2 linked regions of the Arabidopsis thaliana genome follow. The protein of the gene in region 2 purifies or fractionates together with the protein of the main gene of each other region. This does not show direct contact. Each region holds a gene or a part of one and is shown on either strand. Other genes may lie near its edges.

What was found.
Region 1: the proteins of AT3G55540 (region 2) and AT2G03640 fractionate together in Arabidopsis thaliana (co-fractionation; one large-scale study listed by BioGRID). This does not show direct contact.

Annotation. Positions count from the first base shown.
Region 1 is NC_003071.7:1,099,174-1,115,453, forward strand, and holds AT2G03640 (Nuclear transport factor 2 (NTF2) family protein with RNA binding (RRM-RBD-RNP motifs) domain-containing protein), read right to left. Parts: upstream 7,695-16,280; 5' UTR 7,557-7,694; exon of another isoform or gene 7,259-7,556; 5' UTR 7,246-7,258; coding exon 7,066-7,245; intron 6,979-7,065; coding exon 6,693-6,978; intron 6,605-6,692; coding exon of another isoform or gene 6,602-6,604; coding exon 6,405-6,601; intron 6,330-6,404; coding exon 6,179-6,329; intron 6,084-6,178; coding exon 5,962-6,083; intron 5,862-5,961; coding exon 5,796-5,861; intron 5,712-5,795; coding exon 5,352-5,711; 3' UTR 5,141-5,351; downstream 1-5,140. Other genes in the region: AT2G03610 (F-box family protein), read left to right, coding at 1-73, 433-669, 793-1,029; MGT3 (magnesium transporter 3), read right to left, coding at 1,316-1,546, 1,626-1,673, 1,752-2,096, 2,171-2,299, 2,396-2,466, 2,554-2,995; AT2G03630 (suppressor SRP40-like protein), read left to right, coding at 4,032-4,786, 4,880-5,057; AT2G03667 (Asparagine synthase family protein), read left to right, coding at 15,006-15,098, 15,358-15,625, 15,710-15,849, 15,926-16,055, 16,137-16,280.
Region 2 is NC_003074.8:20,589,442-20,604,468, reverse strand, and holds AT3G55540 (nuclear transport factor 2 (NTF2) family protein), read right to left. Parts: upstream 6,252-15,027; coding exon 6,018-6,251; intron 5,833-6,017; coding exon 5,565-5,832; intron 5,442-5,564; coding exon 5,311-5,441; intron 5,227-5,310; coding exon 4,855-5,226; downstream 1-4,854. Other genes in the region: AT3G55550 (Concanavalin A-like lectin protein kinase family protein), read left to right, coding at 2,396-4,450; SDIR1 (RING/U-box superfamily protein), read left to right, coding at 7,281-7,361, 7,435-7,489, 7,568-7,620, 7,708-7,936, 8,034-8,145, 8,630-8,675, 8,840-8,959, 9,044-9,169; AT3G55520 (FKBP-like peptidyl-prolyl cis-trans isomerase family protein), read right to left, coding at 9,341-9,497, 9,585-9,677, 9,769-9,848, 9,934-10,067, 10,184-10,292; RTFL7 (ROTUNDIFOLIA like 7), read right to left, coding at 13,307-13,546.

The sequences.
Region 1 (16,280 bases), on a different chromosome or scaffold from region 2:
AAGCTTGAGCTCTATTGATTTTCATCGAGCAAAAACCGTTTGTTCAGATTGGTATTCCGTTTGGAAAACATGCGTGAGTCAGTCTCTGCGTCCATGGCAGGTCACATACCTTAACGTTGTTTGATCACAAAGAAGACGAAAGTTTCAAAACAAGAGTCCTCCGTCGTCGCTTGAACGGAAGATATTGTATGGCTAGCTCCGGGAATTGTCTCCTACTGGTAGATTCTGGTCTCGATTTCTATATTTTGAACCTGTTAACGATCAAAACGATCAAGATTCCATCTATTAGACGAAAGGGCTGTAGGGAACACTCTTTAACGACGACAACGAAGAATGCAAAACAACAGCTGTTCTGTGGATAAACGAGAGAACAAAGGATTATTTCGTTGCTTGGATTAATTTTTCAAACAGAAATACTTGTTCTCACTCAAGAAAGGATATGATTCGAAGTGGAATCAAAACAGTGGAAGTATTTTCGATATGGCTTATAAGAACAGCAAGCTTTATCTGTATACTTTGGATCATCACATCAAGATTTATGATTTCTCTGGAGATTCTCCCAAAGAAGAAGGATTGACAAACCCGTATTCGAATCATCCATTTCGCTTCGATGAGAAACCGCAGGAATACATTTGGAAGAGGAAAATAGTGATTGCAGAATCAGGAGAGGTTCTTAAAATCTGAGCTTAAAAAAACGGAAACAAAAGGAGACTAATGAAGAGGAACTTTTGTTTTACATCTTTAAGATGAATCTTGAAAGTGGCAAATGGGAGAGAGTGCATTCTATTGGAGATGATGAATGAGATGTTGATCTTTGGTCATGGGGTTACAATGAGAGCACAAGTTCATGATGTTGGTGATGGAATCAAGAGGGATTCAATCTGTTTCGTTGAAGATGATCTTTGGCCGGATTTTGATCGTCCTTCAAATTGCGGTATCTTCAATCTTGCCACAAGTAGAATAACATGGCCTAAGAGATACGGTGTTTACATAGATCAAAAACAATGGTTTCTTCCAGGATTTGCTTAGTCTTTGTTTCACTAATGCATGTTCTTCCAAAGTTTAAGGATGACGGTTCAATTTTCTTCTCTGTCTTATTTTTTCACTAGTTTGAATTTGCTTCGACATAGAATGTGATGGTGTCTTCTGTGTTTTGCTTTTCTTTCTCTTAAACTTATTTCTTATCATTAATCTTAAACACATCCAGTTGTTTCACTATAGAGGTTAAGCCTAAGCTCAGCAAAAGACATTAGTTGTTCATCTTTACATTAGAAGCTACTACATGCGTCTTCTTCTTCTTCTCTAACATAAGTTTTCAGAGAGGGAATACTTTCTTGTGCTTGAAGTATAACACAAAACCAAAATACAAAAAACCGCATCCAATACCTGTTATCAGTAAAACATACTGGAAAGTCGTCGGATTCTGGAAAACAGAGTCTTGCAAATTCATCCCGAAGACAGCGGTTACAGCGGCAAAAATAGCTGCCACAAAGGTTGCCGCGGTGAGAAGCAGTTGAAACTGAATCAACTGATTCTGCACATTCCCCTACAAAAACATGGACAAAGTCAGAGACCCAAAGAGAAACAAGAACATGATTACGAGACTTGATTTTGTCTGTCCTTACCAGCTTAATGTTGATCAGATCCTCTGTATCATCTATATACTCTTTCAGCTGCAAACACAAGAACATGATCAAAATGATGAAACAACATGTAGTTGAGTTTAAAAGAAAGATTAAGAAGAATCTAACCGATGATAATTTGCTCAGAGTGTTATCAACAACGACAAAGTAAGCTTCTAGTAACATCTCTAGTTGATCAATGTTCTCTCCGATGCTAGAGGAGCTTAACAAGCTTTTATGTGAGCCAACAATGCTGCTAAAGGCTCTTTGAAGCTTCCCAAAGTTTCCACTTGTTGAGCCCACAGGTGAAACCGGCGCAGACTTCGAAACTATTCCAGAAGATTCAAAGTCCTCACCAATGTTATCTTCTAGCTCCTCTGACGCATGAGCTTCAGCTCTTTCTTTTTTCTCAGTCAAATACATCTCAGCCATGTCATCATCATCATCCATTAAATGCTCTATTTCATCACAAACCTGCAAGTTTTGACCTCCAAAATCAAATTATGGTAGTAGGGCTTTTTCAAATTTGAAGAGTCTTTTGTGTTCACCTTCTGAACTTTCTGTGTTAAGGTAAGAAGACGACCTTTTAGCCTGCGCACGTGTTCTAGATTAAGGGTGCTGATGTTTGTGGCTAGTTCATCAAGAACGGGATACACCTCCATCTCAAGCTCATTCACCTAAAAATCACGTTCACCAAAACTTTTGAGCTTAACAATTAGCTTAAAGTCATGCAATAAATCATATAGAAGAATGATGAAGAGAATGTGGCATACCTGTGCATCTAAAGACAAGCAAGATAGTTCCAAAACCAGCTCCAACGCTTTAAATTCAAATGGCAAATCATCTAAAACCAAACACATATAACAGTTTCATCAGCAATCTAATCTATATCATAACTCCAGACCACCAAAGCTATACCAAAACCACTGACCTTTAACATTTAGGTTGTGGTTTGATTGAAGGCGTTTACACAGTTCCGACTGGTACTGAACAACAGATGCATCTCGAGCATTCATGAGAATGACCTCTTCAGCTGTGATAATACACCTGATCTTCTCAAGACTGACAACTATCGCTCTCTCACGCCCCAAAATACTCGAGGGATAGATAAACAAAGGGTCAAGGAGTCTCAAATCCCTGGATGGTAAGGAACAACGCTTCATTATAGTCGCCTTGTCGAGCTCCAAAACCGCAGAGTTCCCATCTTGATCAATTTTCACCCAAGAACGACTAGATTGACCTCTCTTCTTAAGACCAGAAAAAGGATGCCCACGGTTAGTTTGTCCTTCGAAATTAACCGGTCTACCAATTTTTTGAGAAGATATGAAATCCGGAAGATTAGAAGCGGAAAATGGATCTAGTTGTTCTCCCATGTTTGCTCAATCCTCTCTTCCTTACAATTTACTAATGCATCAGAATCAAACTCTCACCATTCAAATGAACAGTTTCCAGTGAAACAGAAGGAGTCCAAGTAAACCTTTGGCCACAGTTTACAACCTGAAAACAACAAAATTTGACATGAAACTCAAATTCAATTTCTTCATATGATCTCTCTTGAAGAACCAACGAACCTGAGAAATTCACAGAACAAAAGACAATACTTTTCTAAATGGTGGAAGCTGCATCAAATTATCAAGAATAACTTCGTGTTTAAGTTCTTAAGACACTAAAACGAAGAAAAGTCACAAAATTTGCAGTTAAAGAAGATCCAATTCTCAGATTCAGTATCTTAATTCTAAGAATTCGATCCGTTAAAACTATCCAATACAAATCACACCGATCAATTAGGTCTACAGTATCCATATCCAATTCCAAATACATACCCGAAAAAAGCAAAGAATCCTAAAAAGGAAGAAACTTTCAAAGACCATGTTACAGTAAAGGGAAATACAAACCCTAGATTCCATAAAAACGTTACCTTTCGTTTACAAGCTTTCACTTTCCCCAAACAGTAAACAGAAGAGGAAGAAGATGAACAATGATGCTTTTTTTTTTGTTCTAGTATCTGAAGCCACGTGTTAAAAGTCAAGGCGTTTATCTATTGGATAGAACACGGTTTCTTAAATAGACCGTAACACAGAGGATCATTTATAAAACAGAACAGATAAGAAGACATGGCGCGAAATGCAGCCATGGTTTTGTTAGTTAAAGTTCCGAACTTTACGAGATACCTTTCGTTCTGTTTATCTCCAGACAACGAACCAAACCCTAGATCCCCTTTTCCTCATCTTAATTTTTTTCTTTCTTCCTTCATTCTCTCTAGCAAGAAAAAGAAACGAAATTTCACAACTTCACTCATCAGGCTCTGGTCAAATCGATTTCAAGGTATGTTTTTTGATGTTATATTTGTTCGAATAGCCCGAGAAATTGCTTAAAATGATGCATTGATGATTGCTTCTCCAGGTGTTTATGGAGTCTAAACATGAAGAACATGTGTTATCCAAACAAAAACATGATCAAGATGTAAACAAAAAAGGTTCATTAGACGACGAAAATGGAGATGTTGAGCATAAAACGATACCTTTACAAGAAACAGAAACTGTAATTATTAACTCAGAATCACATTCAAGATTATCGTCGTCTTCGTCATCTTCGTCTTCTTCTTCTTCGTATTTATCGCCACCGAAAGATCTACCTGAAGAGGTACTAAAAGAATCATTGAATGATCCGGAGATTTCTTCACCACCTGTTCAAGTAATGGATAGAGATAACAACGGAAAATATGACCCGAATAGGATTCCATCTTCGGTTTTCGAGAGAAGCAAATCGAATGTGCCAGCTGAATGGAGCTGCACTTCGAATGAATCTCTCTTCAGTATTCATTTAGGAAACAATAGTTTCACTGGTTATGGTGGTGATTTGATGAAATCAGGTGAACTTTATAAATCCGGTGAGTTACTTGCGTATAGTCCTGGACTTCCTATGCCGCCTGTACCAGGATCGGAACCAAAACCCGTAGTCGAAGAACCGAAAGTTGTTGAATCAGATAAGGAAGAGAAAGTTGTACTAGTAGAAGAAACACATACATCATCATCAGATGAAGAAGAAGGGAAAAGAGAAAGCCATGAGAAAGAACAACATCCTGCTGTTTCTTGGAAAACTCCTACAACTTCTTACCGTTCTAACCGAAGCTCAAACAGCGCGCACTCCTTCTCTTTCCCAATGTAAATACACTCCATCCATGACCATGGCTGACAAACATTTCCTCCCCTCGGTTTTAATGAAAGTTTCTTGCTTTGCTTTTTTGGTTTTTACAGTTTGGCTGGAGCTGCAAGTGATTCAAGAAAGGTAGAAACGGAGAAACAGAAGGAACAAGCAAATCAGTCACAAGAGTCACAAAAACCAGTAGCAGATGCAACAAATCAGAAGCAGTCAATGTGTAGGTGCTTCTCATGTTTTCCTCAATGTCCGTGGTGTTGTTCTTCTTGTTCTTGATTCTGTTTTGATGTTTGATTAGACAAAAACAAAAGTTGTGGAGTTTATCTCCTGTAAAGAAAGTATGTAGGTCATTAGAACCTTAAATCAATTCGATTTTGTTCTCTGCTTTGTTCATGAGAAGATACAGAGATCAAAGAGTGAAGAAAAATGTTCTAGATTTATCCCCAAACAATATCACAAATCGAAAAGATCAACACCTAAGATATCCACGGAAACAAAAATTTGTTTTAACATCGCCTACAACCTCAGATTCTCAACCATGAGCAAAGCTTAGAAGAAGAAAAAACTAATCTAGTTTTTGGCCTCAGTATTGCCATGGCCATTGTTCTGGTATGCTTTACCATCCCCATTAGACTCACTGTTCCGTCTCCCATAGCCTCGTCCTCCATTGACGCCACTGCCCCTAGGTTTGTATCCATCACGTCTGAAACCATCCTCATTTTTATAACCACTGTTGTTTCTTGTAGAGACTCTGTTGCCATTTTGATTGTTACCTCCTGCATAATCCAGAAAAAGTAAGATTAGGATTTTGTTTTTACATTTAATTAAAGTTACAATCTTTGAGACAACAATGCCTTTCAGAAACTTGCCTCGCTTTTCTTCTATAGATGCTCTTCGGTTTCCGATTCTGATTGGTGATTCCCTGTGAGCCTAGAGTTGTGCATTTGGAGATCAGATAACAAGAACTTCAAATTACATTATAGCCGAGAGTTTGATATGCAAACAAAAACATACCTGAAAGACATTTTTTACTGCTTCACCATTTTCGAATGCCACAAACCCAATACAGTTCTTTTTTTCCTGAAAATTCACAGATTTTTAAGCGTGTGATTGAACCAGTTATAAGGTTTTTCAAACTTTGCAAATAATTTTTTTGTAGATCATTGAAAGAATAACTAACCGGGTAACTTCTGACTTGGATACCATCCTTTCTAATAGCTCCAAAACTTTTAAATGTTTCATAAAGTTGCTCAATAGTCGCATCCATAGGCAAGTTTGCAACAAATATGGAACTACCCTGAGCTGATACGTGAAAAACAAATAATCAAATGAGACAAAAGCAAGTAGAAGAATTTTCAAATTCATTGTTTTTAACTATTAAACAATGAATAACCAACCTTGTGGTTTAATGCTTTCAGCAGAAGCCTGTTTACGAATTGGGGAAGGAGCTTTGCGCTCCGGAGCAGCAACCGGTTTTTCGACAGGTTTACGCTTGACCGGCGAGGCTTTAACCTGTAAAGTACCAGCGCTTTGAGCCAGAGATTGAACCTGTAAGTTTGAAATCACACCAACAGATTAGAGGATATTATACGATAAAAACTAAGCACAAAGGAGGAGACTTACAATTAATGCAAACGATTTCTTGGGAACCTCCTCTTGAAGTTTTGCTTCAGCAGCTTTAGGTAAGCTACTGTTTTCATTCACAACTTTCTCCTCAGGGACTTTCGCATGTCCGTTTGGTATGGCACTTGCTGGCTTCGTCACCGTAGTTTTAGCTTCAGTAGGGACAATAACCGCCTCTACACTTTCATTTGCAGGCTCTGCTAATCAAAACCATTACCACATGAATCAAAACAATGTCAAGGTGGTGAATATTTTCAGATTCTTGAAACCATTGGTAAAACGACTTACCAGTGATAGCATTTGTTGACTGACTCTCCTCAACCTCCTTGGTAGCTTCTGGTTCAACAAACTCATCAGACACATACCTAAAGGTATCATTCAGCACAAAGTAGCTTCCATTCCGCGACACAAGAAAGAAACTCTGAGAAAATTTCCTCCTTCCTCCATCGTTCCCGATCACTAAACCCGTGACTAGAGTTACAACACCATTCTTTAAAGTTGATTGAGAATCAGCAGTTAGAATCTCGATCCTTGAGCTTTTGTAGTCAATGGACATTATCTGATCATTAATCCCCTGCAAACACGATGAAACATTCGTCGAATCAATACTAACAACAATAATTCAATGAGACATACTATGAAAGTGGCTAAAGGAACTTACTTTCAAGGATTTGATAGTAACTATCTCACCATCGAGACCAGGCCGTGAAATCATACTATCCTCGAGATAGAATTTGTGTACTTCCGAGGTTGAATCATAAAGGTGGTTATAGTATTCTTGAACAAACCCATTGCCTACAAATTGTGGATCTACTGAGGGAGCGTTTGATTCAGGTGTCATCTCTGCAATTTCTCTAAGACAGTCTCAAGCAAAATCGAATCAAACAAAAATTCACAAGAGCTCCAATCTGCATAACTTAGAATTGTACTATGTGGATCTAACTTTATAGTACGAAATCTATTAGCTTATTGTAATTGCAAGTACACATAGTTGGTTTCTCCAGATATTATATATGTAAGGTTTGAACTGAACTTCCATAGATCTATAACTAGTCGAGTTTGAGAAATTGAAAGGTATAAACTTTGCTCCAATACAAAGATGGATTGAGAGATTGGAAAATAAGGTATGAAGTATGAAGCAGAAGCAATTACCTGATAAATTGGAGAAGACAGGAGAATCAATCGCAATTAGAGTGAAGGAGAGAAGGAAGGTGAAGAAACGAGTTTACTTGTGGTGTTTATATATGGCTTCTAGGGTTTTTTTTACAGACAAACTCCGACCAGAATTGGGAATTTGGTTTTGGCCTCTCTTTTTTTTTGCTTATGCTTTTTTTTTGTTTTTTTTGCAACTTTTTGGATATTTTTTCAATAATATTTTGTCACGTAATCATATCCTGTTTACAATTTAGTGAGGATTTTTATTTGATTTGATTAGTTGTTCTTCTAATTTCCAAATCCTAATTAGTTTTTTTTTATTATTATTATTATTGGTTTGGGATTTTTGAATATTGTTCATAAATAATAACAAATATTATTTTGGTTTCGGAAAAAGAACAAGATGATTGGATGGATTTGGATTTAGTTTTGGACTAATATCATAGAATTTTATAGGTCTTTGATTTTGATTCGAACGGTTAATTTGGTTTTGGTTACTTGATTTTTCGGGGTTTTTGGAAAATAAAGCATTTCCTAAAACGAATTGACTAATAATTCGCTTTGTTCAGTTCGAACATGGTTTATTCAATTTTTTTGGTCTGATCACTAATCAACCAAACAACAAGTTAACAACAATGACGCATAAATTATGAATACAAAAACAACTCGGTAGCAAACCTTAATCATCATGATTCATGATACAAAAAATACATAAGTTGTTCTAAAAGAACATGTCACTTGACAAATGACAAAGTACCAATAATCCATTTTGCCTCAGTTCTTATAAGTGTATTTGGTATGTTGTCACTATTTTGTAGACGCTAAAAGAGAAAGAGTTTGTTGTACAAAATATATAAACAGAAAATATATATGGCTTCTAAGATTTTTTTATAAAGACAAACTCCGACCAGAATTGAGAATTTGGTTTTGGCCTTTTTTCTTATTCTTTTTTTTTTGCAATTTTTTGGATATCTTTTCAATAATATTTTGTCACGTAATCATATTATGTACACCATGTTTACAATTTAGTGAGGATTTTAATTTGATTTGATTAATTCTTTTTTTATTTCCAAATCATAATTAGTTTTTTTCTTCTTTTTATTGATTTGGGACTTTTGAATATTGTTCACAAACAATAACAAATAATTTATCGGTTTCAAAAACGAAAAAAAATGATTGGATGGATTTGGATTAATAACATAAAATTTTATAGGCATGCAATTTTGATCCGAAAAAGTTAATTCTGTTTCCGTTACTTGATTTTTGTTTTTTTTGGAAAATGAACTTTTTCTAAAACGAACCGATTAATAATTCGCTTTGGTTCAGTTCAAACATGGTTTATTCAGTTTTTTTGGTCTGATCACTAAACGAATGTAAAATCAACCAAACAAAAAGACGCATCAATTATTAATACAACAACAACTTAGTAGCGAACCTTAATCATCGTGATATATACAAAAGATACATAAGTTGTTCCAAAAAACATGTAACTTGACACAAATGACAAACTACCAATGATCCATTCTGCCTAAGTTCTTACAGGTCCATTTGGTATGTTGTCATTGTTTTGTCGATGCCAAAAGAGAAAGAGTTAGTTATACAAAATAAATAAAGAGAAAAGACAAGCCTTTAAGCCGCTTAAAAATCTTAATGCATTTGTCACCTTGTCTGTTGTGAAAGAAAATAAAAATATATTACTGATTAAAAGAAAAGGCTCTCACAGGTAAATGAATGACAAAAAAATATATCAAATATACCTCAATTTTCAACTCCACGTCAATGAGCAACTAATGATTGTGTATGAGTACTCTCAGAAGCTACACAAGGCAAATAAAATGTAGTTGAGTCTATAGATATAAAAATAACAACAAAAAAAAACTGAAAGATAGAGAGAAAATGAGTACTTAAAGACTCATAAAACTTTAATTCTTCGAACATCTGAATCAGGTTTGCTAACTTCTCAACTAATGATATTCATGAGCCATTGCTGAATGCAAATCAATGATTCAACCATGAGTGGTGACAAGCAACTTCAGAAAGGATCCAAAATACGACCACTAGTGTTGAATGCAGACTCTAAATTGAGAAAGGAGACATGTATGACAAGCACATCTCTTGTTAATTCTGCAAAGATTGCAATTTAGAACTATTCCTCCTCCACCATCTTAAGACATCATAATCCAATCTCAAACCACTTGTAATTCTTAGCACATATTTTTCAAGCAGGTAAATGTCAAGTTCCTTACTAGATTCTATATTTGTAGTCTCTGCTACCATCTTAGTGTACAAAGAGTCCATCATCTCATAACCATCATCATTAGATTATACCAAATAGAGGATGTCACTTATTTAAATGTTGAAGAGGAAAGAATGCAATTAAAAAAGATTTTCAGAAACTTAACTAACATTTGCACTTCATCCCAGCTAACTAGCAGAAGATGGAGGACCAACATGTTTGCCATCATTATCATCATCAGCATCATCATCTTCATTCTTTTCTATAACTTATCTTCAGCCAACATCTTATCAAATGCACCTCTAAACGTGATTGCAACTGTGAGCATAAGATAAGTCGAATTCCACCTAGTAACAACATCTAGACATAAGTTTTATTTACTTACATTTCATGCCTCAACCCTAGATTTAAAGATTTGAGTCTTTCACTCGATGACCTCACATACTTGATTGCATTTTGGATAGCCATTATATTATGATTAGCTTTACATATCCCATCTTTGACTATCAGGTTTAAAATATGAGCGCACCAACGCATATGAATATACTCACCACTTTGAACTAATGCATCTAGAACTCTCACCATCAAATCCTCTGTGAATAACCGTAAAGCTTTGCCATTTCCCTTTGCATTTATCTACACTCATTGTGAAGACTTTCTTGATGCCCAATTCATCTAGACAGCCAATCAAAAGTGATGCAATGATATATCATTTGTGATCAATGACATGCTTGAAGCTAATGATCCATTTCTGTAATTTCCAATATTTATCAATCTAGTAAGCTGTCACCACCATGTAACTACAAGAAGTTGTGGTAGCTACCCAATATCTGTTACCAATGACACTCTCTGTTTATCCTTATCAAACAACTTCTTCAAAGAATTTTTCTCTTGGAAAAACATTCCATAACAATCTGAAGTGGATGTCTTCCTACAATGAACCATGTACATGAGAGATTGTTGGCACAAAATCTCCTAAACCTTTCAAATTCCACAAATGAAAAAGGTAACTCATTAAGCATTATCATCTCATTCACAGATCTTCTAAACAACCCTTTATCATACTTGATTGTTATCATTACACCACTGTTATCTCGAGCTAAAACTTTTTGACTATCACTTTCTTCATACACCTTGGATAACTTGAACCATCTGATGTGATTGGTCATTGCACTTGTTCAAGTTTTGACTATGTCACACTATATCTCTGTGCCACAGTATCGACAGTTGCTTACAGATATATTGTCTTCCTTTTAAATAAAATGCTTCCACACAGATGCTCTATGAGCTGGGTTTTTTCCTCGGTTTTGTTGAAATAATCGAACTTGATATCTGAGATTTTGTTATTTTTTCTCCAACAAAAGAGGTATGTGGACCATCTTCTCCATCAATCTCTTCACTAAGAATGCCATCATTGTTGTTTTCTAATGAATTAGAAGCCATCTGAGAATTAAAAGAACAAACAATTATATTAGACAAACACATAATCAAGGACAAAATTACATAATCAAATGAAGAACAACACATATTAAAAAGTTAACAACTAGAAAAATACAAAATAAAATGAGGAACAACAATTTTAAAAAATAATCTTTAATCTCTTTATCAAGGACGATATGTGAATCTATGACTCTTAAAAAGAATAATGATGATTTAACGTTCATAAACTAAATTCTACATAAAGTTAGAGAGACATATATTACTGTTCGTCAAATTAGCTTAGACATTCAAACAAGGAGTTAAAGAATCTGCGATCTCATAATCGTTTCAAGACAGAAGAACTTATAGTGAAAAATGATGATGATTTGAACCAAAAATATCGAAGAAACAGATGATATAGATCAAAGCTGCTTTTCTCGGATTCGCAGTCTGAGAGGGAGAGAGAGAAAGATTAGGTTAGCGTTTCTGTTTAACAGCTAATTACTCGGTCTAACATTTGTATACTTAGTGTTAATTATACAGTCTTGTTGGAGAGATTTTGACACTAAATTTGGTTGTTTTGGTGTCACGTTGAGATGACCTTAAAATTGTTTATATACCATTTTTGTTTGATTTTTATGCCTTTTCATTTTGTGGTATTTGTTATTATTTAATTTATTGTCAAAATACATTTTATTTGATATTTTTAAATGGTTTACAATATAATGGACTGAGACCGCCTAACAAGATGGTTGTAGATATTTAAAACAAATAAAACAAAAAGGCCGCAAGGCCCACAACCCAACAAAGAAATCGAGGCCCAAAATGGTTGTAGAAATTTGGTTTAGCTATCAAAAGGTTCAAGCGGCTGACAATAGAATTTGTTGTCTGTCCAAAACAAACTACCATAAGCTTATATTGCCACGAGTACTCATTCGGTATTTTTTTTAATATTCCTATTAAGATTTAAGCTGTAAATAAAAATAAATTAATACAATTCAGATCAAATGAAATATTAAACATGAGCACAAAAAACAAAGTTATGACACTACTTACTAGGCTTGTCAATTTGAAGCAAAGCCCGAACGTCTCGCCCTAAATGAAATATTTTCTCTGTTCTATGGACTTTGATGTTTTGGTTTTATTATTGTTCCACAAAATTTGATGTTCTAAATTAATATTATTTTATTTTTATTAATCCTTAATAGAGAAAAGAGAGAATTAGAGCTAATATTATTAAATTAATAATAATAAAATAATATCAAAATTAGTTTTCTTAATTTGTGCGAAAAAATTTCAAACATCGTTCTTTTATGAATAGAGGAAATATTAAACTTGACCACAAAAAACAAAGTTATGACATTACTTACTAGGCCTATCAAATTAAAGCAAAGTCTGATGGCCCCGCTTGATAGCTCTACTACTTACTACAAAAAGATAACTATGTATGTGTAGTAAGCAAACCTTTTCTTTTTTGTCGGCTTGTTTAAATTATTTTGAGCTTGAAAAAGAAAATTCATGTTTTTACTTAATTTAAATAATTTTAACTTTTCATATTTAAAAATAGGCAAAATATTAATAAATAAAAACTAAAGAACAATTTTAATTATCATGTTAGAAAGTTCACATTTTTTATATTTTTGAATGTTGTAGAATTTTAACCCTTATTCTTTTTCCTTTATTTTTTTTGTAAATAATATTAGTGTGATAAATGATTTGAAAAAATTGTCTGCTTTAGAGAAGGAGAAATGGATAAATAAGTTTGTTATTTAAAATTGTCTAGACAAAATTTTGTTCAGAACAAGTTATTCTCTAGAAGAAAGATTTTTGATATAATGACAATATCATATCATCACAATCATCTGTTAGCTATTCAAGTACCTTGTGGACCCAAGGCGAGATAGGCTCCCAATCAATCTTGCTCCTTTCTTCAAACAAAAGGGTCAACTGTTATCGAGATAGGCAAGAGAACGGATAAACCAAGTTCATATAAATCCAATATCAATCAAACAAATCTCTTATTCACTTTTCCATGAGGATCCAGCTCAACCAAATTAATGCCTCCTTTACGTAGCTCAACCAATCTTTGCGAATTGGTTGTGGTCCTGCCATTGACTGTGAATATTTTTTCCTTCGTGTATTCATCAATATATACACCACCAAATCAAAAAAGATCTGGCACCATGTCATAAATGTAACTCTTTAGAAAATGTATTAGCTAGAATAACACAACTAATCATAGTAAGCAGCTTATGATACTTTTAAAAAAGATCGGTAGACAAATCATTGAATAATCGGAGGAGTATGATTATTTGCTACATGGCTAAGTCCAAGTGTTCTCTCTCAACATCCTCTAAAATAAGATCAACAAAAAAATCAATCGCTCTGAAATTGAAAATTTGAAAATTTCAGTTGAGAAAAAGTAAAACAAACACAAATTCAACTCAACTGGATCAGATTTAACTATATATGACCATGTCTAGCTCTTGCAGATTTCTGAGCCGTTAGAAGTAAGTCTCGATGAAGGAGTTCTCGAGACAATAGGCTTTGATTGAATCGATAAAGAATTTTTGATGTTTTGGATTACCAGTTCCATCTATATCTCTTTAGGCATGTCAAAATTCTTTTTACAAATAACTCGGCGAATGCGATGATATATAAATATTTTAGACATAATTTTTTTTGTACAAGGAATGTATCTTAAGTTCTAGTTTAACACCGTATTTTTCTTATTAGATTCAAAAAATAAATTTTATATATTGTAAATTTGAATACAAATACACACAAAATATGTATATACTAGGATATGCTCCAAGGTACATAATAGGTCTATATGTTATTTAAAAATGTAATGTTAAAAATGTGATGATCATATAGCTATAAAAAAAAATACAATTTATTTTTTAATGTATATTTATATATAATATTGTTTACGATAAGTAGTTTTTTATGTTTTGATTATCGACGCATGGATCTTTTTACCCTAAAATAAATACCGAAAAATAGAGTGGGTTAATTATCAAATTATATAAGTTCGTTCTGGTTAAATAGCAAATCTTAAAGTGTTCTTTTCTCACCTCTTCGTCAACCAAGACGAATAGCGAAAGATTCTTATATACTGTTATCACAGTTAATAATTAGAAATTTAGAAAGAAAAATTTGAGTATATTGTTGGCATTCGTTTAATACAATTGAGATTATATTAATAATTAATACAAAATACATATATTTTAAATAGTAATTAGCAAATGGACAAATGTAGGTATAAAGAGATAAATTAGAATAAAAATCGTTTAGTTAATGTATTTTATTTAATTTTAAAAATTTTAAGAATTAATAAAAATTACATTTCGTTGTAAATATATACAAAGGCCAGGTTTTCAAGTTAATGTATATATATATAAAGAAATATTTTGTTTTCTTTGCTAAAAATGTAAAATTATGTGTGTCTTTATTAGTTTCTAGCTTTTTTTTATTTTAGTCGAATGTTTAACATGTTTTTCGCTGTTATGGTATAGATTGGGCCAACTTGAAAAACATAAAGTCCATAAAATGCCAATTTGATAAGCCCATATAAAAAAATTGAATTTAAAAAAAGCCTACGGTGAGGATCGAACTCACGACCTTTCGCTTACGAAGCGAACGCAATACCACTATGCTACGGAGGCAATTTGTTCATTTTATAGAATCATTTTAGAAGAATGTTTATTACTTGTTAAACAGGCTTTAAGTAACTTTCATGACAACAACTTTGACGGAAACGGAGACCAGAAACAGACGCCGGCGGAGATATGTGCGGAATTGCAATTGTAGTGTGCGGCGTTCGTATCGAACTCTCGACACTTTCGTCGTCTCTCTCTGAAACTGAGACTCCTTTCGAACGAGTAAATCTCTCTCTCCAACGTCAGTTGTGATTTTAGTATGAATTGCTTTTGGGTTTAGAAGTTTAGGGTTTTTGTTCTGTCTGAAGTAATTTAGCATCATTGGTAAAGCTTGAATCTTTAATCGAGTTTGTTCTTATATAGAAAGAAAGACTTACACTTTTGAGTTTTTATCGATGGATAATGGTAATGTATTGAGATGAGAGTGAATTTGGTTGTTCATAGATGAGCTAATTTGGTGTGTTTTCTTGGTTTAAACCAGTTACAAGTCTCTGTTGAAGATGTTAAAGCTGTCTTAAGCCAAAGAGGTCCTGATAGTGTAGGAGAAAAGACTATTCATCTTCGACCAAATTGTGGTCAAGAATCTGCTACTCTCTCTGTTGTTGAGACTAGTGAAGGAACTTATAAGCTTGAGGAGACTACTTCTTTGGGTGAATTGCATTTTATTGGTTCTACATTACAGCTTAGAGGAACTAGTCCTATAAGGCAACCATTGGTGGATTCTTCTGGGAACATTCTAGCTTACAATGGTGTGGTGTTATTCTTAAGGTTTTTTGATTATCATATGTTTTCTCTTACACTATACGATATTGATTTGTATATTTTCCGTACAGGCGAAGTATTTGGTGGAATTGAACTCAACAGCTATGATAATGATACTGAAGTGCTTTTGAAGTCTTTAGAGAAAGCAAAATCTTTAGTTCCAGATGTTCTTTCGATGATTAAAGGTCCCTGGGCCATTATATATTGGCAGGTAATTTGGTAACCTGCTGCTATTTGTTTATGTAGCATTTTTTTTTACTTTCTCTAAGAGCATTTTTCTCTATCAGGAAAGCTCGAGAACGTTATGGTTTGGTAAAGATCCGTTTGGTCGGAGGAGCCTTCTTGTTCACTCGCCAACTGTGGAAGACCCTCGTTTTCTTCTATCGTCTGTTTCACCAGCTTCTTCAGTTTCTCAAGGTGCTGGTTTGTATTACTTAGTAGAGCAATTTTGTCTCTTTATGTACACTCCAAGCTCAAGTAACATCTGTTCTTTTGCAGGATTGGATACTGAAAATGGTAATAGCCTTCATAGATATTGGGAAGAGCTTCCATGTGGCGTGTACAGTATTTCTTTTGGGGTTTCAGAATTATGTATTCATGGTGAAGTTACAAAACACGAATGGAGAAATACCATCTGGAAAG
Region 2 (15,027 bases):
TGATTAGATTAGATTAGCTTTTTGTATTTGGCTCTATTACTTTGTTCTTCTTGAGCTTGTATGCATTAAGGAGATATGCAGGAAGATAGTTTAAATATTCTGCATTTTGAATCTTTAGTGCTTTTGACATAAGATTAGAGTACAACACTGGATTCTAGCTTTGCGGGCGAATAATGTTGTTTATCGTTTATGTACTTAGAGACTTGTAGCGAAACTTTATATTTTGCTAATAGAAAGTTTATTTATGCTGCATTTTGAATCTTAGTCCTTATGACATAAGAATAGAGCAATACAAAACCGGATTTTAGCTTTGTGGAGGATTAATGTTGATGAGGTTTTATGTGCTTAAAAGAGACTTGTAGAGAAGCTTTCTCATTGACATGTGTTTGTTGTTTTACTCTTCTAGTGAGCATTGTTTGTTAGCTGAGGAATTTCAACAAAGTTGATTTCTTTGGTCCCAAAAAGCATGATTTATCAAAACTGTGTTTTTCCCAAAATGTTTGGATCTTTGGCATTGTCTCTGGTCTTAAATATCCCTTTTATGGTATATCAAAAAAACATGAGTACGGAATATATGGTCCCATGATGACTAAACTCCGTAGCAATTTTGTATGTCAACGGCTAAGTACAAATTTGTTTTTCTGTTCACCGCTACTTTTGTGACATAATAAGGTGATATTTGTGAAAAATTGTTGTCCTTGTCCCGGTTTCGAATTTAATTGTTTTGAACTCAAAACAGTAAATTTAGAAAATTTCGCTCATCTGAATTTGTATTTCTCTGGTACATTTTCGTTATTAGTGGAATAGTGGTTATTGTCTTATTGATATGAAAACTAAGAACTAATTCGGATTTAAGGTTTAAGTGTAACTATATATCTGTACTTCTTGTATACAAAATATTCAAAACCGAGTGCTCGAGTTGCTAATAGGAGAGGATATCTAATTTCTTGGTTCAGATTGATTTATTTTGTTTGATTATAAAATAATGTGGTTAAATTAGGTTTAGATCTTTTGGTACGGATTCAGCTTCTAAGTTGGCCGGCACAATGAGGAGTTTACTGAGCCAATTTCGACCGACATAATTCTCCACTATGTGCTTAATGAAGAGTTATGAAATATAGAAAAGTTTCGAATTTTGTGATTATTCACTAAATTTTTTACTTAAGCATGTTCCTAGTATATAATATTCGTTATTTCATCATCCTACTATTTACATTTCAATATCAACCACAATCAACGGAAATCGTAATCCATTTTCTTCAGCTTTTATTATCTTTTAACCATTTTTTCCAACAACCCTTTTTCTCGAAGGACTTTTATCCTTAGTTTGGCCGTCAATCATCAATCCAAAACATAGACTTATCTCATTTCTTTTTTGTTTTTCCAGTGTCTTAGTTGATTGATTAATTGACTTTTTCTTCCTATCCAAGAATATTCTTCTTACTTATCGTTTCTGAATGATAATTTGTTCCAATCCAATAATTTTCAATGTCAAGTGGATCATTTACACAATCAATACTACATCTGTATAAAAACTTGAGTCATGACGATACTTTAGCTACTTAGCATATCTAATTGATGAATATTTATCGAATGGTGAAAATATATAAAGTTATTGGTTTTAGTATAGTACTTATTCCAAGATATCGTCATTGGTGCTGAACCACATTACTAAAATTGTGTCCAGACTGTAATGCTTTTGGAGTTACCCAACAAAATTATGTATTTACAACACTAACTAGATTTTAACCTGTGTAGGGTAATTTATTTTTATTGAAAACAAATATATTTTTAAAAAACAAATATAGTCACCATAAGATTGAATATCGATCGGATCTTATCAATCCAAAGATGTAAAAGAAGATAGATTATTTGGAGTTTTGATTTAGTTAACAAATTTTAGTGCGAAAATTATCATTTATACCGTTAAGAAAAATTAAATTATGAAACATGATCAACCCCCGATAACCTCTAGTAATACAGTTGTATCCGTCGGAAGAAAAAAAAGAATTATAAGTGGAAACTGGTAGATCGTTTGATTACTACTTATACAGTTATACGTACTTTCTTATCTATTAAACTAATCAATACCGACGATCTCAATTGATATTAACAACACCCAGAACCTATAATTATGGTACGTACTAACCTCGTATAATCGTAGTTTAATGGTAGATTTGAATTCTCTGTTTAAATATTAGATATCATAAAGTATCATCAGTCTAGAAATAATAACATGTTCCTGTATCACCAACATTATAAACAGTATCACATGCTTTCGTATCCTCACCATCTTCTTGACCTATCCTCCAAATAGATCATATATTAGAACTATAACCCTAGTACCTAAGTAGCCCTTACTCTTTTTACTTCTCTCCCAAGAAAACAATTCTTGATGTCTCAAACCTTTGCTGTCATCTTGTTACTACTCATCTTCTTAACACACTTAGTTTCATCTCTAATTCAAGACTTCTCCTTCATTGGCTTCAAAAAAGCCTCACCAAATTTAACGTTAAACGGAGTTGCAGAGATCGCCCCCACTGGAGCAATCAGGCTCACAACAGAGACACAGCGCGTGATTGGTCACGCTTTCTACTCCTTACCAATACGGTTCAAGCCAATCGGTGTAAACCGAGCTCTGTCTTTCTCCACGTCTTTTGCAATCGCCATGGTTCCAGAGTTTGTTACTCTTGGTGGCCACGGACTTGCCTTCGCCATCACTCCAACTCCAGATCTCAGAGGTTCTCTTCCTAGCCAGTACTTAGGCCTGTTGAATTCAAGCAGAGTTAACTTCTCTAGCCACTTCTTCGCTGTGGAATTCGATACTGTCAGGGATTTGGAGTTTGAGGACATTAATGATAACCATGTAGGAATCGATATAAACAGTATGGAATCGAGTATTTCGACTCCTGCTGGCTATTTCCTCGCTAACTCAACCAAAAAGGAGCTTTTCCTTGATGGTGGTAGAGTGATTCAAGCTTGGATTGATTACGATTCAAACAAGAAAAGGTTAGATGTTAAACTTTCTCCATTCTCAGAGAAACCAAAGTTGTCTCTTCTCTCTTACGATGTTGACCTATCCTCTGTTTTGGGAGATGAAATGTATGTTGGATTCTCTGCTTCCACCGGTTTGCTAGCTAGTTCACATTACATCTTAGGTTGGAACTTTAACATGAGTGGAGAAGCATTTTCTCTGTCTTTGCCATCTCTTCCTCGGATTCCTAGTTCAATCAAGAAGAGGAAGAAGAAGAGACAGAGTTTGATTCTTGGAGTATCTCTCTTGTGTTCCCTTTTGATCTTCGCGGTTCTTGTCGCTGCATCGTTGTTCGTGGTAAGAAAGGTGAAAGATGAAGACAGAGTTGAAGAATGGGAGCTTGATTTTGGTCCGCATAGATTTTCTTACAGAGAGCTCAAGAAAGCTACTAATGGTTTTGGGGACAAAGAGCTTCTCGGGTCTGGCGGGTTTGGTAAAGTATACAAAGGAAAGCTCCCGGGTTCAGACGAATTTGTAGCCGTCAAGAGAATCTCTCATGAGTCAAGACAAGGTGTACGAGAATTTATGTCTGAGGTCTCAAGCATTGGTCACCTCCGGCATAGGAATCTTGTTCAGTTGCTCGGTTGGTGTCGAAGGCGGGATGATTTGCTTCTTGTCTATGATTTCATGCCTAATGGAAGCTTAGACATGTACTTGTTCGACGAAAACCCTGAAGTTATCTTGACTTGGAAGCAAAGATTCAAAATCATAAAAGGGGTTGCTTCCGGTTTACTCTACCTACACGAAGGATGGGAACAAACGGTTATTCACCGCGATATTAAAGCTGCAAACGTTTTGTTGGACAGCGAAATGAACGGACGGGTAGGAGATTTCGGTCTTGCTAAGTTATATGAGCATGGATCGGATCCGGGGGCTACAAGAGTGGTTGGCACATTTGGGTACTTAGCACCAGAACTCACAAAATCCGGAAAACTGACAACAAGCACCGATGTTTATGCGTTTGGAGCGGTTTTATTGGAAGTAGCTTGCGGAAGAAGACCTATCGAAACAAGTGCGTTACCAGAGGAGCTTGTAATGGTTGATTGGGTTTGGTCAAGGTGGCAAAGCGGAGACATTAGAGATGTTGTGGACAGGAGATTGAACGGTGAGTTTGACGAAGAGGAAGTGGTTATGGTGATCAAATTAGGGCTTCTATGCTCAAATAATTCACCCGAGGTTCGACCTACAATGAGACAAGTAGTTATGTATCTCGAAAAGCAGTTTCCGTCGCCTGAAGTTGTTCCTGCACCGGATTTTCTAGATGCAAATGATAGTATGTGTCTTGATGAGCGCAGCGGTAGTGCAGGCGAGTTTGAAGATTTTGTGGATTCAGCTAGGTTTTATAGCGGACCGAATGAAACTACTACTTCGTCGATATTTTCCTTCTCCGGTAAAACAAGAACTGATCCAAGATAATTGGTTCTTTTAACCATGTTTTAGTAACGTTTCAAGCATAATATTTCACCATGAAAACAAGTAATCTGAATGTTAAAATGTAAAATATTTTTATCATATGCTGTTGCTTAATATTTTGAGTTGATCGTTGGTCTCAAATCTTGTGGTTAGCGTAACCTGATTTTGAACAATTCATTGCATAAGTTCAAGATTACAACACGAAATAGAGATAAATCATTTTTCAGTCATAGTCTCATAGAACAAATATCTCGGAACAGAGAACAAGGATTCTTCTATGAGAAAAAAAGAAATTTATAAAGCTCAAATAAAAAGAACATAGACGAATAAGGTTTTGTATATAAAAAAAGGACATAAAGGAACAAAATTAAATGCATTTAAAAAAAGAACAACACTAGCATAAACTATTAGTGGGGGTAATTTTGCGTGTCTATGTTGTTAAAATAAGAGAGTAGCTTCCCCTTCTTAACCATGAAGTAAGGAAGCTCGACATCAGTACTAGGTTTTGCAGCGGACTGGCTCGAGCTTTCAAGTGTGTCTCGAGGGGTAACATCAACATAACGGAGGATGTCATTGTAGATGACATAAGACCCATTGTGACAACGTGTCACATAGAAAAATTGCAAGAACTTTCTCTCTGTTTTGTCGTCTAGAGTCACGAAACCGCAAACCATGATAAACATTCTATCTTTAAAGGATCTGCTGATCTGATAATCCACACTATTCAATATAAAATTAGAAGCCCTCTTATGCTCATTTGAGACCCTCTTGTTGATTGCCTGCACCAAAAAACTAACCCCTTAGATTTATTCCACTAAAATTTCTCTAGAAATACATTGGAATTAGGAACTTTTGCAACTTACATCGAGGCCAGGCATCTCGACCATTGTTCTACCAGAAGTCGAAGTCGGTCTGCTCATAATACTTTCATTGACATACATCAAACCAAGTTCCTCACGCATAGGCAACTCGTAGTAAACCTTGACAAATCCAGCTGCAAAATCTGCTTATATATATAGTCACACCAAAACTAAGTTAGTAAGTTTTGTAATCTCATGAAGCTAAACACTTACTATTCTAAAATTGAATATCAAACACAATTTATACAGCTGTTTACCGGATTCAGGAACAGAAGGTAATGCTGGTATTGAATCGATATAGCGGAGGAAATCATTGACAATGGCATAAGACCTATCTTGACGACGAGCTAAATACAAAGATTGAACAAATCTCCTCCTCACTTGTTTGTCTTTACAAGTCAAGAAACCAGTAACCATGATAAATGCTCCATCTTCAGAACTGGTATTGCAACTCTGAGCAGCAAAACTCATCACATCAAACGAAGCACCTTCATAGTCGCATGAAACGATTTGCTCCTGAATTGCCTGCACCATCAAAAAATTGTTTGTCCTTATAAATCGTTTACAGCTTTTTTCAAGTTTATACGTTTTGAAAACGTTAAAAATATAACTAAAAGAATTATTGTTATAAAATATAATTACTCCCAACCAGAACATCAAACTAAAAACAGAAACTCATGAGAAAGATTTGATCTGATTAATGACAATACCTCAGGCGATGTAAAAGACATCATTGTACCATCAGGACCGGGTCTAGTCATAACACTGTCGTCGGCATACCACATCATCTGAACTACCTCGGGATAGACTCCTAGATTCAGGAAGTAAGATTGGAGAAAGCAATTGGCTAATGCTTCGGAAGTATTTAAGTTCGTGAAGTGGGATTGAATAAAGCCATTGGCTAACAATACGGAAGGATCAACATCTTTGATCATGGAATCCATATCTGCACCAGTAATTATGCCCTAGGGGAGACGAAGAAATATCCAAAGTAAACCCTAGCTAGATATCAAAATCTCTTAAAAACAAACTTATCTCTCTGTTGAGATCAACCGCTGATCTATAGGCTAAAGGAATCACCGGAAGAGAGAGAGAGAGAGGAAAGAGGCGGAAGTTGTGACTTGTGAGACGGTTTGGATTTTGGAAACCTACGTTCCATTGAACTTCTTTATATATTGGTTTTTCATTATGGGATATAGTAATATCTTTATAAAAAAAAAAAAAAAAATTATATATATATATATATCTTTAATACATTATTAAATTAAATAATATACGGATAGGAATTACTATAAATCTTTATAAAATAAAAATAAAAGGAGAAGTCCCTTTTATCTAATTTGGATGGTTAATTTGTGAATTTTCCATATTTATCTAATTTCGATTTGAAACATATCCAACGTTAAGTCAGATTCTTGTGGTGAAATTATTGCATCATAACATAAAGTCATGAGAGTAGGAGAGAAAGTAATAAGTGGCAACATCAAAACGACGACGTTTTTAAGCTAGTGCGTCAGCAACAGTTAAACCATATGAAGTTAATGGTCTGTGTTAATGAAGACAAAAACTATATCCTCAGGTTAGCGATAACTCGGTCCGAGTCGACTCGGTCCGACAAGCGATTTTCGTGACTCCGTCGTCACCACGCCTATGTTAAGTGAGTAAATCCGACTCTTCTCCGTAGAGATTTCTCCTACTTTCAGGTGAATTTCTCCTCCGATCTCTAGCTCCGTTCAATTTTTTTGATCCATGAATGAAACCTTCTCATTTTCAATCTCTTGGCTTATGTGAAAAGATTCGTGTTATTGTTTTGTTTGGATCAGCATAGGGTTTAAATGCCTCTCCTTTATTGCTGTGATCAACATGGTTTCTCGAATTCTAGTTTATAGAGTTTTGAATTAATTTGATAGAACCAAATATAGATTCAGTGGCAATTGTTTTCTTTTGCAGGCTCTCTTGTGAATTTGGAAGACATGAGCTTTGTTTTCCGGGGAAGTAGAGGAGATTTAGAAAGCGGATTCTCGGGTGGTTTTCTACCCGAAAGACGAGCTATGGTATGCTTTCTTGAAAACATATACAATGGTTTTTGTTAGAATGATACTTATTGCAAGTGTCTTTTGGTATCAGCGTGTTCATGGAGCTCGACCAGTTAATTCTAATTCCCTCGCTTTTCTGGTTACAGGTAAATTCAAACTTTCACCTTCTATGTTATCTTCAGTTGTGATGTTGTTAATACTTGTGTTTGGTTTGTGTATTTCAGTTCTTTTGCTGTTTATGATTCTCAATTCGCATCAGATGCCTCCTAATTTCCTGGTATGATTAAATACGTGAGTTAAAGTTTTTTCCTTTTGAGTTAGTCGTCTTTCGGGTGTGAGTTTGACATTTCCATTAATTTTGTAGCTGTGGCTTGTGCTTGGGGTGTTTTTGATGGCAACGACGCTTAGGATGTATGCTACTTGCCAACAACTTCAAGCTCATGCTCAGGCTCAGGCTGCAGCAGCAAGTGGCCTCTTTAGCCATACTGAGCTGAGGTTGCATGTGCCTCCTTCCATTGCTCTTGCTACGAGAGGGCGTCTTCAGGGACTTAGGCTCCAGCTGGCTCTTCTTGATCGGGAATTTGATGACTTAGGTCAGTATCATCCGCTTGTTCCTTTTTATTAGTCTATAGTTTAGTAGTTTGCTTTCTATGGTTGAAGTCTGAGACAAAAGTTGTTCTGCTGCAACAGATTATGAAACTTTAAGAGCACTTGATTCTGATAATGTTTCCACAACTTCTATGAGCGAGGAAGAGATAAATGCACTTCCAGTTCACAAGTACAAGGTGTTGGATCCTGAAAAGTGAGTCAATATTGTACCTTGTTTCTCTTTTAACAGTTTAAAATGCTTTCAAATGTGGAAACATTGAGGAATTAAGAAAATAGTAAGTTAGGATGATGTGATATAGCAACTTGTATAGACCTTAACTTCCTTAACAGGGGAAGGTGGGGTGGTAGAATATACAACTTAATAAGTTAGAAACTGATATTGTACTTAGGTTTATTGTTTGCTTTGCTAAACGGAACATGTAAGGTATTGATTGTCCATTGAGTTACTAAAGATTTGTTTTTCAATAGAATCTTCTAAAATCATGAGTTCCGTTGATCCCATCACTTCTTTGGTTAATCGTCAGGCGCTAGTTTTATTGTGGAATGAACATTTAAAATTTGTTACTGAGTGAAACTTTTCTCAGTTTTCATAGCTCAACGCCTTTTTGTTTTCTTTCTAATTATTGTGAATGAATCTGTATTCATGGTTTTTGTCTTGCGTTCGCTTTTGTTGACAGTGGTTGCTCTTTGGCAAAGCAAGCGTCAACCTCATCCTCAGCTGAGGTATATGACATATTTACATTTCCCCCCACCCCACACACAAAAAATAGCCGATATACAAAAATCACATTTGAACTGGTCAATACTCATATGCTCGGTAAAAAGTTCTTGCTAAGTGGCTAACAATGTCTTAATTTTTCATGTCGTTTTCCTCTTATTCAAAGCAGAAGATGCTAGATTCTGCCAATGAAAGTAAAAAAGGAACAGAAGATGAGCTCACATGTAGTGTTTGCCTAGAACAAGTTACCGTAGGGGAAATCGTTCGCACCTTACCTTGTTTGCATCAGGTTTCCATTTTTACTTTTATCTTAAACTGAAAATCTTCCAGCTCTTTACTGTGTCACGACTCAGACATATATCCGTTTGCTCAGTTTCATGCAGGATGTATCGATCCATGGTTGAGACAGCAAGGAACATGTCCTGTCTGTAAATTTAGAGCTCATTCAGGATGGCAAGAACAAGATGAGATTGATGATGATGCTTCCGACATGGTTTGAAAAGTTTGGTTTCGAACACTTGTTTATGTTATTAATGTGCGTGCGAATTAAACCCCAAACAAATCATGTAATGGTCAATAACTCAATATGATGTAACTGATGACTCTCCCTTTCCAAAAGTTTGATTTAGATTCATCATGAAATAGTAGTGACAGGTCTTTTGCATTCGACTTATTTAGCTTTGCCTTTGCCTTTTCCTTTGCCTGGACCTTTCTTAGCGTCTAGCTTAGCTTGAATCCTAGCAGCTGCAGCAGCTTTTGCTTCTTCTCTCTTTTTCTTATCATCCTCTTTCGCAGCTGCAGCAATCTCTCTCTGCTTCTTCAGATCTCTGCAACCATGAAGCAAAAAAGTTTTCATATTTACACACATGATAACAAGTCAAAAGTTAGGTCCAAATGGTATTTATAATACTTACTCTAGCCTGGCTCTCTCTTCAGAAACACTTCCAACACTAGCACCTTTCCTCGGTCTACAAGCAACCAATTCCACCTCGAAAATCAAAGTTGCACTGCAATTACCAAAAATCTCAATTACAAAAACAAAAAAAAAACTGTCACACTCCCTTGAACGAGATGCAAGAAGTTTGGAACATAACATACTCAGGTGGGATGTCGGGAGGAGACCCGGCTCTTCCGTAAGCATATTCTGGCTTACATGTAATTTTTGCAACTTCTCCAACCTGTAAAAAAAATCAAATCAGTTGTATATAATAACTGAAGCGTTCAGATTATAAGGATAGAAGAAAGACTCAAAATTGTAGAAACCTTCATGGTTTTAAGAGCAATGTCCCAAGAACGGATAACACTGCCTGTTCCTAACTCAAAGGAGAAAACAAGATTGTCTTCGCGAGTAGTGTCGAAAACCTTTTCGTCTTCAGCCAAGATACCCTCATAATGAACTAAGTTAAAATCAAACAAGGTTATGGTCCTTCATCAACACATATAATTAGGAGTAGCATAAGCAGTAGATGAACAATATATTGACCCTGATCACTAGTCAATCTTAAGAACATACCATCGACAACAGGAAGATCATCAGAGGGTGAAATAGCATCAGGTTTGGCACTCCTTACAATCTTTTTCAAGACGCCACCATCTCCACTCAAATCGATTGCATCACCCATAGCTTCAAAGGTTCAAAGAAACCTAATTCACATAAAAAACAAACCTTTTCATATAAAATAACAATTACTGGATAACTGGAATATAAACAGATACGTTTCAGTACTCATAAACACATACACAATTACATCAACTAAAGTGTAGAATCATTTCTGAGTGAGTTTATCATTATCTCAGCTCACCAACACAAAATCAGTAAAATCTTATAAATTGAGTGAATGGATAGTTCTGCAGATAAACAAATATATGAATTCAAAATCAAACAGCAGACGAATCGTAACTAAAGGTGTAAGCTTTAGATTCTCGAACTCACCCGATTCGAAGAAAGATGAATAGTATTCGATCCGATACGAAAACGGAAGAAGCAAATGTGTAGTGACGAAGTGATAACCGGAAAGAGATCGCCGTAGAGATCGGTGGCCATAGACTGTCCAAAGAGTATCGGATTTTTCCTAGAATCGGCTTCTTCTTCTTCTTCTTCTTTCTCTAATCCGATGCTTTTGACGTCACGTGTTATTGTTCTCTAGGGACCGGTGCTAAAATTCATATTTGTAGCCCATTAGGCCCATCATGTTTTCAAGAGGTCTTATCTATTTAACTGAAGAGCAACAACAGAAGTTAGCCCATTAGGCCCATTATATTTCTATTGGCCAATATGCTGCTCGTTCTCTTATTTATTTATTTTTGTCTTAAGACTAAACAAATCTCACGTCAGTTGTCACTTTTTAAAAAATTATAAGTTGTAAATTTGTAATCTCCAATAATTAGGAGTGAACTTAAAGTACAAAAGAGTCCCCAAAGTGCAATTTAACAGTGAAAGTCAAAACGGAATATCGTCGGCGTGTTGTTGTCTAAGAAGAGAGAGCTGATAAACAAATCAAAATCAAGCATGCTAATGAACAATCAATTTTTTTTTATAATCATTTATCATAGATCCCTTCCGATTTGTGGGGGATGGCTCATAAAGTCTAGTTTTCCAATCAGTGACTAAACTATTTTAATTTGTCTCTTTATACATAGTGGAATTGAAATATACTTATTATATACTATCTTTTTTATAATTGTTCAATGCCGCCATTACTCTTTTCTTAAGTATACACAATTTAGGAAAAAAGTGTTATTCACCGTCGCAATGATCAAACATCCACCATATATTGAAAATTTTAATAGGAAAATTAAATCGGACCCATTTGAATCTCTATATGTTTAAAGGCAGCCAATTTCTTCATAGAGAGGTGTAGGTATAATCCATAAAATTTGTAGACTATAAATAACGACATGACTTGAATATTTAAACCCTTCTTGTCAAACTTGATTAGTCCCAAACTTGTATGTGGTGTGCTATATACATGAATAACAAAAATATAATTTAGGATGGTAGTTGTACATAATTCAAAAACTGATGTGAGCAGATATGTTGAGATAGTGGTCATATATATATATAGAACACCCAAAATTCATCTGTATAATCATTGCCAGAATAATTGAAAGATTCTTAATTAAAAAAAAAAAAAGAGATCATTGAAGGTCAAACGTTAAAAAACCTAAATTTTTTGAAAACCTACTAATTAATCGTAATGTCACCACAAAGCTAAGTATCAAAAGTAAAACAATAGCTACATCGAGAAACTCGACGATTAGAAAAACACGAATAATGTAGTACAAAGGAACAAAGAGAAAAGATTCCAACACACTCAAATATACACCTACATAATTTATTTTTTCGATTGTATCATGTATAAATGACAAATGTAAAAGGTATTCACATGTTTTTTTAAAAAAGTTCGAGAAATTCAGATCTAAGTCCTAATTTTTGTAGACATGGGATCATTCTTTAATTAATATATTCCTTTTAAGAATACCGGGTCCTCTAGGTGGACTCGAACTAGATAATTCTCTTCTAAAGAAACTGCTAAACCAAAAATCACTTAATCGGATGACGAAAACATATAGTTTAAAGTACCAATCATTCTTTTCAATCTAGCCTCCCAAATGCGAATCCCAAAATTGTTGTGCTACTGGAAAATATCATTGAACGCGATAGTTGCCTTGCACTTGTAAGTGAAAAAAAAAACAATAAAATACCTCTATGTAAACAAATAAGTTGATGAGAACTATCTAGAAACATATTTTCTATAAAATATCATCACTTCTTCAGCAGTAGCTCGATGGGGAGGACTCTAGCAGTAGTGACATTCTTTCTTAAAGAAACTCCATCGTTCTAGCACCAGCTCTGTTTATTTAATCATTTATTTATTGTAGCTATTAGCCTATTAAGAACAATAATTAATCTGGTCATAGTGATTACAATGGAAATTGCGGGACCAAATATTACGTAGTGGTTTTATAAATCTGAATATGTGTTCTTGTTTAAAATATTTCTTCTTGTAGTATTTAAGAGGCAGCTATTTCATGTAATGTTGGACTACGTAATCCAGAGCATAATCCATTGTATAAAATAAGTGTCTTCATATTTATGTAAGCTAATCTTTGTTTCTGGCTAAAAAGAAGAAGATTCTTTGAATTGTATTACTTTAAAAAGATAATCTTTTATACTTCGCATGTTCAATCCACTATAGTATAACAACATTATTCTTTTAGAACATTTCGAAGTTACCATAATTGTCCATTGACTTCAATGATGTTCGAAAATCCTAATCACATTTGATTTTTTTTAGATTTGAACCCTTTTGATTATATTTTAATAATCTTTACTCTAGTCTTGACACATTTAAGTCATAACTCGTGATCTGAACATATCGGCGTAAGACAATAATAAGAAAAACGAATCTAATTCACCATTTTATACTAATTGCTTTCTATCCTCTACATGTTCAAGTGCATACACTGAAACTGATGAGTGATGACCAAAAGCAAACACAAACACAAACATTCAAATCTAAATTACAACCAGAAGTAGAATCATTTATGTACATTTTGTGTCTAATCTACTCTTAAAATAAAGTTCAAAACAGAAGCAAGAAAAAGAAGAGAAAGATAGGGTTTTGACGTTGATTTAGGAGTGGTCAGAGTTGTTATTATTATGATCAGTCCAGCAAATAAGCATAACGACGCATCTCCTCATGATGTAAAAGCGAGCTCTTTGTTCTTTCACCAATCTCCCACACTTCCTCGTGAAACCGTATTTCCCCTGTTTCTGTCTAGAGGAACGCGTGGTGTTCAACGCGCCTCCGTTGTCTCCAAGACTTTCCTTTTTCGATAGCTGCAACTGTGCCGAGTTTCTCAGTCGAGACATTTGCCTGAAGATTCTTAGACTTCTGATCTTGCTAGGAGACTGATGGATTTGAGAGTTTTCTCGAATATGGGATTCAGCAAAGTTAAAGAGAGAGTTAAGGAAAAGAGTGTAGGGGGTACTTCCGCATTTATAATGGTTAACAGTTAAATATCCTTTTGAACACACACAAAACAAACAAAAAAACGGTTTGACTAGAAAGAACAATTAAAATAACACTAAGTAATGAGCTTTCATTTGAATATTAAACGCTAACTTTATTTCCCCAAAAATATAGTCTTGTTTTTTAAAAATATGGGATTATTTAGAGGCACCTATTGCTGAAAACCTCAATAACTCACGTAGTAAAAAATTTAACCAAAAAAAAACTAAACATGCAAAAAACAAATGTGAAAAGTTAAAAATCCAAAGAAACAAAAAAAAAAAAAAACGGGTACAGTACTACAGAAGTCAGAAAATAGGAAAAGCTTAAGCGGAAAAAGAGAGATTTTAAAGGCATCAAAGCAAATCTAAACTCTCACTGACCTTTTTCTCTGCAACTGTAACTGTTTATTTGCTTTCTCAGTACAAATTCATTATTCCACCAACAACAGTCATATTCACTCCACAACATAAGGACAAGAAAAAACAGAGGTCCAAAAAAAAACTAAGACTTATATAAGAATATTGGTACACTCGGATTAATTTCGTAATCGTATTGATGATTTATATTCTTGTAATTTTCAGAAGTCATTATCGCTTAACAGTTGCATTGAATATAAAAAGCAGAGACGTATCTATAGAAAATCCATATTAGTCAAACACCAAATCTTGTTCCAATCATTGTGATCAGGATGACAATCACCAATAACACTAAGTCACTAATCCGAATCTCTTACTGTATACTTCATAGATGCTAACCATTACTAATTATCTCACGAGTATCGTACGAGTCTCCAATTTAACCTAGCCCCTGGGTCACTAGATTTTCGTAGATTAAAGTAGTGAACTCAACAAAAACTATTTTGATTAGCAAAAGTGTCTTAGGAGGAGTGGAGGACCGAGGGTTAAGAAAAATAGTAGTATGTGCATACACCGATAGTTGAGGCCCAAAATTAAAGGCCCAAATTTACAAAGGCCTTAATTGTCCAATGCTATTAATTGGGATAAGCATAAAATTAAACGACCAATCACCAGATTAAATCCCTAAGATTCCAAATGTGCGTAACATTACCTTTAGAAAAGTTTAACAACGTCTAAATAATGATACCACCATTCACAACGAAAGTCTTTACATCTTACGATATCACTAAGGTCGACGTTTGCAACTTAAAACGCACACTTTAAATTACAATAAACGAATTCACAGACCACCCAAACTTTAACAGCATAACCGGCCCAAAAACTCGTACTAATGATAATCTTGCAAAATTGCTTAGTTTAGTAATTAAGCCCCAATTTTGACGTTAGACCCATATCGGATAAAAACGCGTTTTCAAACCTAA